3 linked regions of the Lepisosteus oculatus genome follow. The protein of the gene in region 3 binds, or shares a complex with, the protein of the main gene of each other region. Links are inferred from orthologs where the notes say so. Each region holds a gene or a part of one and is shown on either strand. Other genes may lie near its edges. The genes, in order: gsk3ba, dvl2 and axin1.

Region 1 (3,747 bases), on a different chromosome or scaffold from region 3:
CCATATCACCCTGCAACTCACAACTGGTAACCCACTGAAGCTAAGCAGGTGTGAGCCTGGTCAGTACCTGGATGGGAGACCTCCTGGGACAAACTAAGGTTGCTGCTGGAAGAGGTGCTAGTGGAGCCAGCAGGGGGCGCTCACCCTGTGGTCTGTGTGGGTCCTAATGCCCCAGTATAGTGACGGGGACACTATACTGTAAACAGGTGCTGTCCTTTGGATGAGACGTAAAACCGAGGTCCTGACTCTCTGTGCTCATTAAAAATCCCAGGGCGTTTCTCGAAAAGAGTAGGGGTGTAACCCCGGCGTCCTGGCCAAATTTCCCATTGGCCCTTACCAATCATGGCCTCCTAATAATCCCCCTCTATGAATTGGCTTAATTACTCTGCTCTCCTCCCCACTGATAGCTGATGTGTGGTGAGTGTACTGGTGCACTATGGCTACCGTCACATCATCCAGGTGGTGGAGGGGAGTCCCCATTACCTGTAAAGTGCTTTGAGTGGAATGTCCAGAAAAGCGCTATATAAGTGTAAGCAATTATTATTAACAAACATGTTAAAACCTAATGAATGTCTTCACCAGAAAATAACATAAGAAAGTTTACACAAGAGGAGGACAAACACAGGTGGGAAGCTTGTTTTAAACTCCCACAAATCTCTGTGGTAAGAAATTCCTATTCTCCTTGTGTTCTATTTTAAATGCAGTTCCATGGTGTTCCCAGTTGTTTCATTTGCAGTATTGCTACACCCCCATGTTGATGTCTTCTGGACAGTTCACAAATATATTAAAGAAATGTTTCCTGTAACTGACACCTGCCTCACATTTGCGAGAGTAGACATAGAAGCAGAGCACATTTTTAGATATCTGTCCAAATTACCAACAGTTAGGTTAACCTTCTAAAGATGGCGCCCATTTTGAAGTACGCTAACGTAATTGACTCTAGCATGATATGGGATATCTATGGTTAATCTAGAGCGGCCTTGCTCTTTGCTGCGTAATTTGCACTCACGACCAACGAGATTGGTGAACACCCGGCGTCCTTCTAAAATTCGATTGGACTTTGCTCAGTCACTCCTGACGCAAACCCACCTCAGCCCGCCTCTGTTACCTATTTATGGTCGTTTTCGTTACAGCTGGTGGCATTCGGCTATCTTCGGAAAAATGGGGGCATGGGAGGTGGGAGGAGGGGGGGGCGCAGTCCCATTGGCCCTCAACCCCCGGATCTCTCCGCCCGTCTCGCTCCAGATTGGCTGACAGAACCTCCTCACGTCTGCTTGCGCGTTCACAATGTCCGATTCTCGCACAGCAGCTACTGCAGTCTGGTGACGTAGCCCACGCTGTTCGCAATTAGCCGTGGCGCCTTTGTCCGTACATTACGCAAATGACGTTGTGCGGGTCGGAGTGACAAAGAGAGCGAGCACAGAGACAGACGGAGACGGAATAGAAAAAGAAATTCTGAATTTGTGAGAGTGGCAAAATTGCTATTTCCCACTTAACTAGGCATCTAAGGCACTTTTTCGACCCCCGGCTTTATCCCAGAGAGTTCAGATTATAACATCTGTGTGTATGGGGCCGGAAGAGGCGGAAGAACTGGGGAGATCTTTTGATTTAAAATCGGGAAATTGGAAATTTTTCATTTGAATTGTTGGTTGGGCTGAGCAAGGAAGCCGCCATGGCTGAAGCTGTCGGATCATTGAGTCTCCACCTCAGAATATGAAGCAGATTTTCGTGGCTGCCTTGTGTAATCGGCGATATTTTAAGAGAAAGTTTGCGTTTTAGAAAAGCAAATCGGATCCGATTTTTTAAATAAAAAAGATCTAAGCGACCTTGTGTTCCTTAAAATAAATTAAAGGGAGTTTTTTTTAAAAAAAAAGATAGAAGATACCGTGGAGGGGGAGGAGAGAGAAAGGTTAGCCGTTTTCCATGAGACACTGGGAAATCAAAGACGTTTTTCTTTTGAAGGCCTGATCGTTGGAGCAGGAGGAGAAGACGAAGCAAGGAAAGGGGCCTTTTTTCCCTGGGAGAAAAAGGGATGATTTGAAAGGAGACCCGGGTCTGGGTGGACAGGAGACGCCAGGAATCGAGTGAAACCGGGAAGGGGCCGAGAGCCGTGGGGAGCTGCTTCCGTTTGCCGAGATACGCTGGCCGTCGGCTCCGACCGGGGGGAAGACCGCAGCGACAGATCTGATCCCAGCAGCAGCAGCAGCGGCCGAGAGAAAGGCGGCGAGAGAGAGAGAGAGAGGGGTGGGGGAGACGGAGATCGGTGAAGAGGGATCATGTCCGGACGGCCCAGGACCACCTCCTTCGCGGAGAGCTGCAAGCCGGTGCAGCCGCCGTCCGCGTTTGGCAGCATGAAAGTCAGCAGTAAGTGTCACCCAGCCTGCGTCCGACTGTCAGCGCCCGGGCCGCGCCGGCGGCGAGCGTGTGTCTGTCATACTGAATCGTGCGATTTGAATTGACGACGCTTGGGCTCTGGCTGTTAGATTTTTTTTTTTCTTGGGCGGTCGAGAGGTGATGGTGTTACTTGTCTATGCGGTCTATGGCGTTTTTATTCGGCGAGAAAGCCGGCCCCTTCGTAGCACGGTTGAGGTCTGACATCGGTATCGATAATCGATACGGTGCTTTCGATACGGAAGTGCATCCCTAATAAGCCAAACGTGCATTTTAATAATACACGTAGACGCTTAGAATAAGACCGCTAAGCGTAAGAGTAATGTAGAACCAGTTGTTCACACGGATTCGTGCAAAATGATTTTGATGATCATGCTGCACAGTCTGCGATGTAGCATCTGTCAGGCGTTAAAGCTACAGGCCGATTCCTCGCTGATAATCAGTTCTGTGTGACTTCATCGAGGAAGTGGATTGGTGATAAACCAACAGTATTGGAGAGACTGGGCTCCGAGTGTCTGCCAGAGTAACAAGGCGAGCGTAGTGTGCAACCGTATTTCACTTAATGCCAGAAGGACACTTCGACATCCTTTAACTGCTGTATTTGTTGTCCTTGCTATAGCTCAAAAGAAAATAATTCACGACAAAGTAAAAACAGTTCCGCACCACAATTTTAACATCCCCTTCCATTGACTAGTTGTGTGGGTGGTACTGTACTGCCTTTGCTATTTCAAGCAGTAGAATTATTAATACCGCGTTTCAGTGCTGGTGTCGGGCACCCTTCCACATATCTCACGCGGGAAAGAAGACGGCTTTCTGTCTGAGGAGCTAGGTGGAAGTTTGTGTTTGGCACAAATATGTGTCATACTGAATTTAGAAGACAAGCTTGCAACAACGGGGAGGGAAAGAGAGTTCCGCGTTTTCCGCAGAGAAGGGGCAGGGGTTTTGAATGTTGTGGTTAAAGGCTGTGAAAGATTGCGTTGACTGGTGTATGGGTTTTCAATATCACGTTTAATGTTTGAAAACTTGGTCTGAGGTGTGTGGATTTAATCTGTTGAATGTTCTTTGTGTGTGGATATGTGATGCTCCTGGTCCTGGACAGCCTGGGGTATCATGGTTTTCCAAGCTGTCTTTAAAGTAGTAGTAACTCAAGAGCTGGGCGGAGCTGTTGAACAGGTCCAGTTAAGCCGTTAACTAGCTGGTGTAGCTCGTTAAGAGATGGAATGAAAACTGCAGACGCACTAGTTCTCCAGGACCAGAACTGCACACCCCCAGTTTAGTGTTGCCTCATCCTTACCAAATGATAGGAAGCTGAACCTGGCACCAGTGCATTCCCACTGATGCAACACTGCCTGTCCA
Region 2 (3,747 bases), on a different chromosome or scaffold from region 3:
GAGGAGATCAAGATCTTTAATCCAGAACATAAATCTGTAAAATTTGACAGTATTTTAAAAAATAAATGGGTTCTTTTGGAGTTTCAGTTTTTTTTTCTTTGACAATCATGCTTTGCTTCTAAAGACCTGTCTTGCAAATGCAGTCCCCCTAATCTTGAGGTGTTTGCAGTTGGCTCACTACTTGAAGTAAGAATGGAAATAGTAACTGCACAGTCTGGGGCCTCATAGAGAGAACCTGTTCACACTGTAGAAACCCTTTCTTAAGAGGATATGGGGCTAAGTTTCTATATTTCTGAGGCAGAAGGGTCTTCCTGCACATTGAAGGAGTCCTACTAAGGCTAAGGGGTATTGAAGAGAAACTGCCCTTTAGGTATTATGGATGCCAAGATCTTTCTTTACTGAACAGCTTCTGAAGTAAGCTGGTGTGCTGTTTTGCTGGAGGAAGGGTTGGGGGTCTTACGGAAAAGGACAACTATTTTAGGTTGTACAAAGACCACCAGAGGAGCTGCCTTCCACACCCACTGGTGGAAATCGGTCAGCCCTTGTAGCTATAAGCACTGGGCCAGGTTCATGGGGGGAGGAGAAACCTCCTTCAGAGTTTATGGAGTCCTGTACTTCACCATAACCAACTGGGCCTCTGGTACCACCTGCAGCAACCTTGGTAACAGGAAGTGATGCAGCAAATGGTCACATGACCGCTCCCAGGAGGCTGGTGACAACTGATGTTTTTTTTTGTTGTTGTTGATTTGTGTGTGACAATTCAAAAGGGATGCACATAACCGTTTTTTTTGTCATGTGCATCCCTGCAGCAGTAGAGAGGTGACATGGGGCCTGGAATAAAGTTTCTTTCCTGTGGTGGGGGAGACAGAGGGGAATTGTGCTTTGTATAAGGAGTACTGGCTGAAACTCTAGAGGAGCATCTGTTCACCTGGAACCCCAAAGAAATGGGCTTTTCGAATTCACTTACTGTCCCTCACAAGGTGGGTGATTTAAGAGCGATTCGCAGGGATGCAGCTTGAGGAGGAGGGAATTGCGCGACCGAGGTTTCGCCAGCGCTCGTGGGTGTAATTTGAACTTGCTGCCGGCTGCAGCGCAGGTCCCGAGTGAGGATTGGGGCGGTCTGTGGGCCTATGGCCTCTGCGCTCCCGCGACTAGCCGGCACACGTGTGGGGAAGGGGGCAGGGGGCACGTCGGCCAGGACGCAAGCGGCGTCCACCTGACGTCAGACGCCGCGCTGGCTCACAGAGAAAGTTTTTTTTTCCCTCTCTCACTCTTCTCCCCCCCCCTCCCCTCAGTTGTTAGAAAGTTTTTGTTTTGATTTTTTTTTTCCGGCGTCCGTCTGCCCCCCCCCCGCCCGCCCGCCCGCCCGCCCCTACTCCTTTCCTCCGTCCTCCTCTGCTGTGGTTCGGGAAACACGGCAAAAGTTGAGGGGGTGGGAGAGCGGAGAAAGTTCAGTTTGTAACCTTAAAGCCCGGCGCGCACGACACCGATCCAGCCGCAACAGCGAGCTGGGTGTCCGCTCGGCATCCCCCGTCGGTTCGCAGAAAAGAAGTTGGAAATGGCGGAGACGAAAATCATCTACCACATTGACGAGGAGGAGACGCCGTATCTGGTGAAAATCCCCATCGCCGCGGAGAAAATCACGCTGCTGGACTTCAAGCAGGTCTTGAACAAACCGAACTACAAGTTCTTCTTCAAATCTATGGATCAGGATTTCGGGTGAGGGCGATGCGTGTCTCGGGTTGTTACCGTACGGGAGGGCACGGTGCAAAAGTACATCTGTTGGATCAGTTATAAAAAACACACACACACACACGAAACGGATTTAAAAATGTGTGCAAGGGGTTCTCTGCCGGGGAACGTGGCTATCGTGCTGTATTTTTCCCCTAAAAAATGCGGGGCTGTATCTTTCGGGCGCCGTTGGGTAGTTTCAATGAGAATTCATTTTTGGACACGAGAAGGGCATCGGGTGCAATTCGAGGGGTTCCTTGCGCTCAGGTCCCCCGTCTTAAATGGAGGTCGGATTAAGAAGGGGGGGGGTAGATTTTGACCCTTTGCGAAGACGCGCAGTTTGTTTTATCTAGGGGCTTGGAGCACAGGGGTCGAACGAGGGAGGAGGTAAATTATTCAGCTTTGTATGTGCTTGCAGAGGTGGAGGTGTTCGTCTTTGTTTCTGAAACTTGGCTGTGCTTCCCCCCCCCCCCGTGCTGACATTCCTTGGGGATTTAAGGAACGAAAACCTTTAAAAAGCTCGCGTACGCTTCCTCCCCCACTAACAAAATGGGAAGCACGTTTCGGCAGAAACATAAGGTTTCCGTCTTTTTTTCTGGGGGGGGTCGGGGAAAATCTACAGTAGATTTTTGCGAGACGCCTTCTGCAGTCCAGGAAAGTCGTCCTCATTTTTTTTTTGTTTTCCTCCAGACTGACTGTAATTAAAGAAAATCAGCGAGTGTGGACGTGGGGTGGCGGTGTAGCCTGTACCCCCCCCCCCTTCCCAAATTGTACCGTTTCTCTCTCTCTCTCCTGTGCTGTGTTTGTCTGTCTTTGCAAAGAAAAAAAAGTAGGAATTTCTATTATTCCGGCGAACAAAACGAACAGCTTCGGCTCCCGAGAAGGAGTAAAAAAAAAAAACCCACAGACGAGAGAACTTTTCTAAGAGGGATTAGTGCTCTTTTTCACTACCTGCTTAATCCTTTCTTTTTTCTGTTGTGAAATCTTTTTTTTTTGGAAACTCCGCCAGATTTCTGCCTCCCAGAACCCCCCTCGCTCCCTCCCTCTCTCTTTTTCCATTTTTCGAGAGCCGCTTCCTTTTAAATGACCTCGTTCATTTCTACGATTTCCTCAATTCGGGGCCGATTTGAGGATTTAGGTTTCCTGCTTAGACGCCGAAGGGAGATCTCTTCAGATCTGCGGCCCCGGTCTGCAGCTTTTTTTTTTTTGTTCTTGGAAGCCCTCTCTCTCTCTCTCCCAGGCGTCATGGCGGCGCTCACCGCTGCCTCCCAGCTCCAGGGGGGTCTGGCCTTCAGTTCCAGACGGGGACACCCGTCTGTGTGGAGTTAGCATGTTCTCTTCCCAAATTCCCACTCGCCTCTCCCAGGAAAACGCCCTCCCCCCTTACCCCCTCCCCCCAGGGTGTGTTTAAAGAAATTTCATCCGTTTTGTTTGTGAGGGGATTCCCAGTACGAGCAGTTCTGACTTGGGGACTTGAGGGAAAAATTGAAGCACGTGAACTCAGTGAGCAGAATACTGTCTTGACTCGTTTGCTTCAGTGGCAGGGTGTTGGTATTGTTCTGTGTGCATGTGTGCAGTGCACAGTACAGCTAGGGTTACATTGAAGGAAGTAGCTCGAGAGGTTATGCTGGTTTTAAACTCCTTTGTCATGGTATTCATCAGCTTTGCTTAATGGCTTCAAATGTTCCGCAGCTCGTCTGTCACATGAGTGCAGTCTGAGAGTGTCCTGATAATGCAGTCGCTGTACGTGGTGGCAGCTCAGAGGAGCCACGCTTGCCCTCGCTTTGTGTGTTACCACCCGGACTGCTCATGACTCGCCTCTTAATAACGGGAACAATAGCTTTTACTTCGAAAGTGCCTTTCCAAACCCACAGATGGCATATGCATAGTGATAAAGAAAAATCCCAAAAAAGTACGATAAAAAATAAATAAAACGAGAATTTGTCTCGTCGCGTCTGAGGAAAGGCACCCCCCCGTAACCGTGGAGCAGCGACGGGAGAGTCTCAGAAAGTCCGA
Region 3 (3,747 bases):
CACTACTTGACCTCTCCCTGTCTTTTCATGGTTTATCCTGCAAGAAGTTATTAAAAAGTTTTAGTTAATTCAAGGACAAATAGGAATGTTAAATATCTTATCAAGATCCACAAAATATCCAAATCATCAATTCATTTGAAGATTTCTTAAACCCCCAATCTTTTCTGTGAAGACATGTTTTAAATTTTCCTTTTTGAGAATTTGGGGTGTTTTTCTCTCTTCGCGATTGCAGTCCTGTATTACTGTGAAGTCCTTGCTCCCTCTTCTTTGTCCTACAGCAGGACAGGACAGAGGGATCTTGCAGTGCTTCCTGTGCCCTTTAATCCGTGTTCATCCCACAGCGCTAGAGGAGCTCCTAACTTCCAGAAGTGTTAGAGGCGGACGAGGTCATTGCTTCAACTTTGTAAAGTCCTACACAGAGCGAAATATACTTCAGAGCAGTGATGCACACTAACTCAGAACACACACCTTACAAAATCTAGATTTGCACGCAGTTTGCACACAGAACAATTGGGTTACAGAATGAAAAGAATAAAAACATTTTTGTTCTGTAAAAAAGTCCTTTACTTTGTCAAGTCTGTAAACCAATATAGTATTTGTAGTTTTCCTCATCTTTATATAATATTAGAATATTACAACATTATTTCAAATAAAATCATTTCTGCTTGGAAAAAAGTCTGTAATTTCTAAGTTAACAGTACATAAAAAATACACAATTTAGCAAAGGTGTCCACGATTCTCTTTGTGCCATCAATCTCAGCATATTTGAAGAGAAAGCATTAACAAAGTTACATAACCCTGGTCGTACTGCCAGGTAGCGTCAAAAGGACAATGAAAATTAACATTTCAACAAGCCTGATTATTTTTGTGTTTAGTCGGACTGGCAACTTTTCTTTATAGCTGTAGACACACACACCACCTCAACAGTGATGAGTTCAACTCAAACTAAAGGCTAGATGCTGCTCTTTTGAATAAAAAATCCATGAATTTCTTCCTTTATCTCCATTTTGCAAACATAGCCTGTTTGGTCACTGTAAGAGGCAGCTCCCAGCGCATTATTGAAGTACATTTATCCACACACAGATGGGTTTCAAACATGCACGCACAAAACCCGACACCTTTATGCAAAATGTTTTCGTGCAGCATCATCGACACAAATGTAAGTGGCAGCCGACGCGGAGGCTGCTGGACAGTGTGAGTGGAAAATCGGATCTTGTGGGAAGGGTTTGCTGGGCTTGACCCTCGCTGCCTCAGACAAGCGAGTGTGAAATCCACATGAAAGGTAAGCAGCTGATAACACTTTGGTACAAAGGGAATATTATTTCTTTTTCCCATTTTTTCCCCTTCACTTTTATCTTTGAACCCTCTCTTGTCTTGTTTCACCTTTTTTGTTGTTGTTGTTCTCCTTTGTCTCTTCGTCTTCAATAAGACACGTACCAGCCTCTTGATTCGAAACCAAACTCAACTTTATTCTTTATTTATGAACGCAGCAAGTGATACTAGCGGATGATAGGAAAAGCATTATGTTACCAAGTCTCTTTCTTTTTTTCCTCTGCCTTTCTCGGCGCAGGCTGGTCCATTGATCGAACTTGCTCAGCTTAGCTGTTATTTGAAAGCCAATTGATTTATTTATTGTCATTTATACTCTTAGTGTGGAGTACAATAAAATGCTGAAATAGCGCCTTATTTTGTATGTTTATCCAGCAATTATGAGCAAATCACTCATGCCTAAGGGGTCTGTTGCCATAGTTACAATAGGGTTCTAAGCACTATCATCTGGTCCTTGCGTCATCCAATCAGGTTGGAGAGCCAAAGCTGCAACATAAAGTAAAGATGCACATCTTTCAGCAACACAGTAGTAAGAAACAGAAACAGGTTCATGAGTATAAGTAAGTACTCAGGGTGGCAAGTAGGCGACTGCGCCCAGTCATGGCGGAACACGAAAATCAGACCCGACGAACTACTCAGCAGGAGAGGCAGGTGAGAGCATCGTCCCTACCGATTTAACTCCCTTCATTCTTCTTCGAAAAGTGCTCTGTGAATCAAAAACACAGGGACAGTAAACAAGATTAGTCTTTTAACGTTCAGCTTCCGAAAAAAAAAAGCGAGAAGATGAATGAAACAAGGGAAGGGGCAGGGGCGAGCGGGTCGGCCAGACTTTAAAATTATTGTTGTAGGCCTTTCAGATCAAATTTTGTTAAAAACAGCGCCGTCAAAGCACTCCAGCTGGGCTCTCGCATAGTTCCGATATATTTTTTCCAATTCTTATGTTGGGAGAATTAAGCGACCAAGTCAGTTTGGCTGAATGAGAGTGTGCGTCTGTGTGTGTACAAAAAAAAGCGGGCCTAGATTAATCATAGTATTCTAAATCTCATTACTCGGAACATCTGAGAAAAGATATTTTCAAAAGCCTCTATTAAGGAGCTGTAAATGGAGGCCTTTATGAGATCAAAGGCACTTGAACTGGGACGAATTTTTGTTTGCAATCCCTATGTTTAAGCAAGGCTTGAATGTAGGCAGCGGATCTGCCGGACGGCAGCGATGGCCAGCCTGAGCTCCATATCCCAGAGACCTCCTGCTGCGCGGCCCGTGAGCCTGTCGATACTGCAATGTGATGTCAGTCAGAAGAAAGAACCACCATAACAATCAGTGGGGAAGGAAAAAAGGACTCGCAAACGAACCCAGTTATGATTAAAGATGGCGGCCATACATACCGCAGTGTGCGTAACGCGCCACGGTCTGTAAAAAAGCAATCGGAAACCGTTTTTTATTCGGAAAACACCCGATAGAAAAATACAAACATTGGGTAACTCCATAGATCAGGCTAGGAGTCGGGATCATGCCCACAGCTTTCCCAGCTTGCATTCATCTTGAAATCAATTGTTGTGCTGTGGAGTGCTTTCCTATGGTAGGTGCGCTGTTGTTGTTTTCCTAGTTTTCGTGCCTCTTGCGGACTTGGCTGCAGTCAGCCAGCGGATTTAACTGGGCAGCACAACAATGGCTCGACTGCTATCAGCGCATCTGAAAACTAACACACCACAGATCATGATGAGCTTTCGTGCTTTTTTCCTTGTGTTCATTCATCATCAGGCTTTCCTTGTCCAAAGTGTACCGCCTTTGGAGGCACAGCTCTGGGTTAGAGTCAATACTGCCTTTCTCCAAATACACTAAATTAACAGAAGGACATCACCCGGTTTTGAAGATGTATGCATATTTTTCCAACGTAGTTCTGTAATAATAAGCAAAACAATATTAAATAAACTCTAGGAGGCAAATCTTTTAATCCACTGTGGCTAATCCACTCTCGGGTTTGCTAGTCATGAGATATTCAGCGATGACAAAAGACATCAGCAGGAGTCCAGAATACATTTTGTGACAGTCTTTTGGTACTTTTGCTCTTTTAAGACAGCACTAAAAAAGAGCAGCATATCAATACTCAAACCCACAAGTACTCCTTCTTCTTTTCATTCAAATAACTTCATTAGTCTTGATCAAAATCAAAAGATTTCAGACCAGCATAGTGTAGCCCAGATCCCCAACTGTGATGAAAAATCTTCTTTTTTCTGTTAAAAACAACAAAATAATCTGAGATGAATTAGTAGTAGGATCACATCATCTGCTTCACAATGTTACTTATAAACTAGCCTAGTCGTGTGAATTTATTTAAATTATTGTTATTATCACATACGAAAATTACTTCTTATGCTACCACATTGTGCAGTGTACCTGTAGATTTGTTTCAATAAA

Evidence for each region.
Region 1: the proteins of axin1 (region 3) and gsk3ba are in contact, whole or in part, in a crystal structure (PDB 4B7T), measured with the Homo sapiens proteins. The link is inferred for Lepisosteus oculatus from reciprocal best matches to the Homo sapiens genes AXIN1 and GSK3B. Residues at the interface, in NP_003493.1 of Homo sapiens: Glu384, Pro385, Gln386, Phe388, Ala389, Glu391, Leu392, Ile393, Arg395, Leu396, Glu397, Val399, Gln400; in NP_001139628.1 of Homo sapiens: Ile228, Phe229, Val263, Asp264, Leu266, Val267, Ile270, Lys271, Asn287, Tyr288, Phe291, Lys292, Phe293, Pro294, Gln295, Ile296.
Region 2: the proteins of axin1 (region 3) and dvl2 are in contact, whole or in part, in a crystal structure (PDB 6JCK), measured with the Homo sapiens proteins. The link is inferred for Lepisosteus oculatus from reciprocal best matches to the Homo sapiens genes AXIN1 and DVL2. Residues at the interface, in NP_003493.1 of Homo sapiens: Arg821, Tyr823, Lys825, Lys826, Glu830, Phe831, Val835, Val836, Phe837, Glu838, Glu839, Lys857, Glu859, Asp862; in NP_004413.1 of Homo sapiens: Lys15, Ile17, Tyr18, Glu23, Glu24, Thr25, Pro26, Tyr27, Leu28, Val29, Val46, Leu47, Gln48, Arg49, Pro50, Phe81, Arg84.

What each region holds. Positions count from the first base shown.
Region 1 is NC_090710.1:19,227,258-19,231,004, forward strand, and holds the start of gsk3ba (glycogen synthase kinase-3 beta), read left to right. Parts: upstream 1-1,396; 5' UTR 1,397-2,276; coding exon 2,277-2,364; intron 2,365-3,747. UniProt on the Homo sapiens protein: Constitutively active protein kinase that acts as a negative regulator in the hormonal control of glucose homeostasis, Wnt signaling and regulation of transcription factors and microtubules, by phosphorylating and inactivating glycogen synthase (GYS1 or GYS2), EIF2B, CTNNB1/beta-catenin, APC, AXIN1, DPYSL2/CRMP2, JUN, NFATC1/NFATC, MAPT/TAU and MACF1.
Region 2 is NC_090698.1:8,841,150-8,844,896, reverse strand, and holds the start of dvl2 (segment polarity protein dishevelled homolog DVL-2), read left to right. Parts: upstream 1-1,348; 5' UTR 1,349-1,558; coding exon 1,559-1,719; intron 1,720-3,747.
Region 3 is NC_090714.1:610,748-614,494, forward strand, and holds the start of axin1 (axin-1), read left to right. Parts: upstream 1-1,135; 5' UTR 1,136-1,282; intron 1,283-1,807; exon of another isoform or gene 1,808-1,980; intron 1,981-3,747. UniProt on the Homo sapiens protein: Component of the beta-catenin destruction complex required for regulating CTNNB1 levels through phosphorylation and ubiquitination, and modulating Wnt-signaling.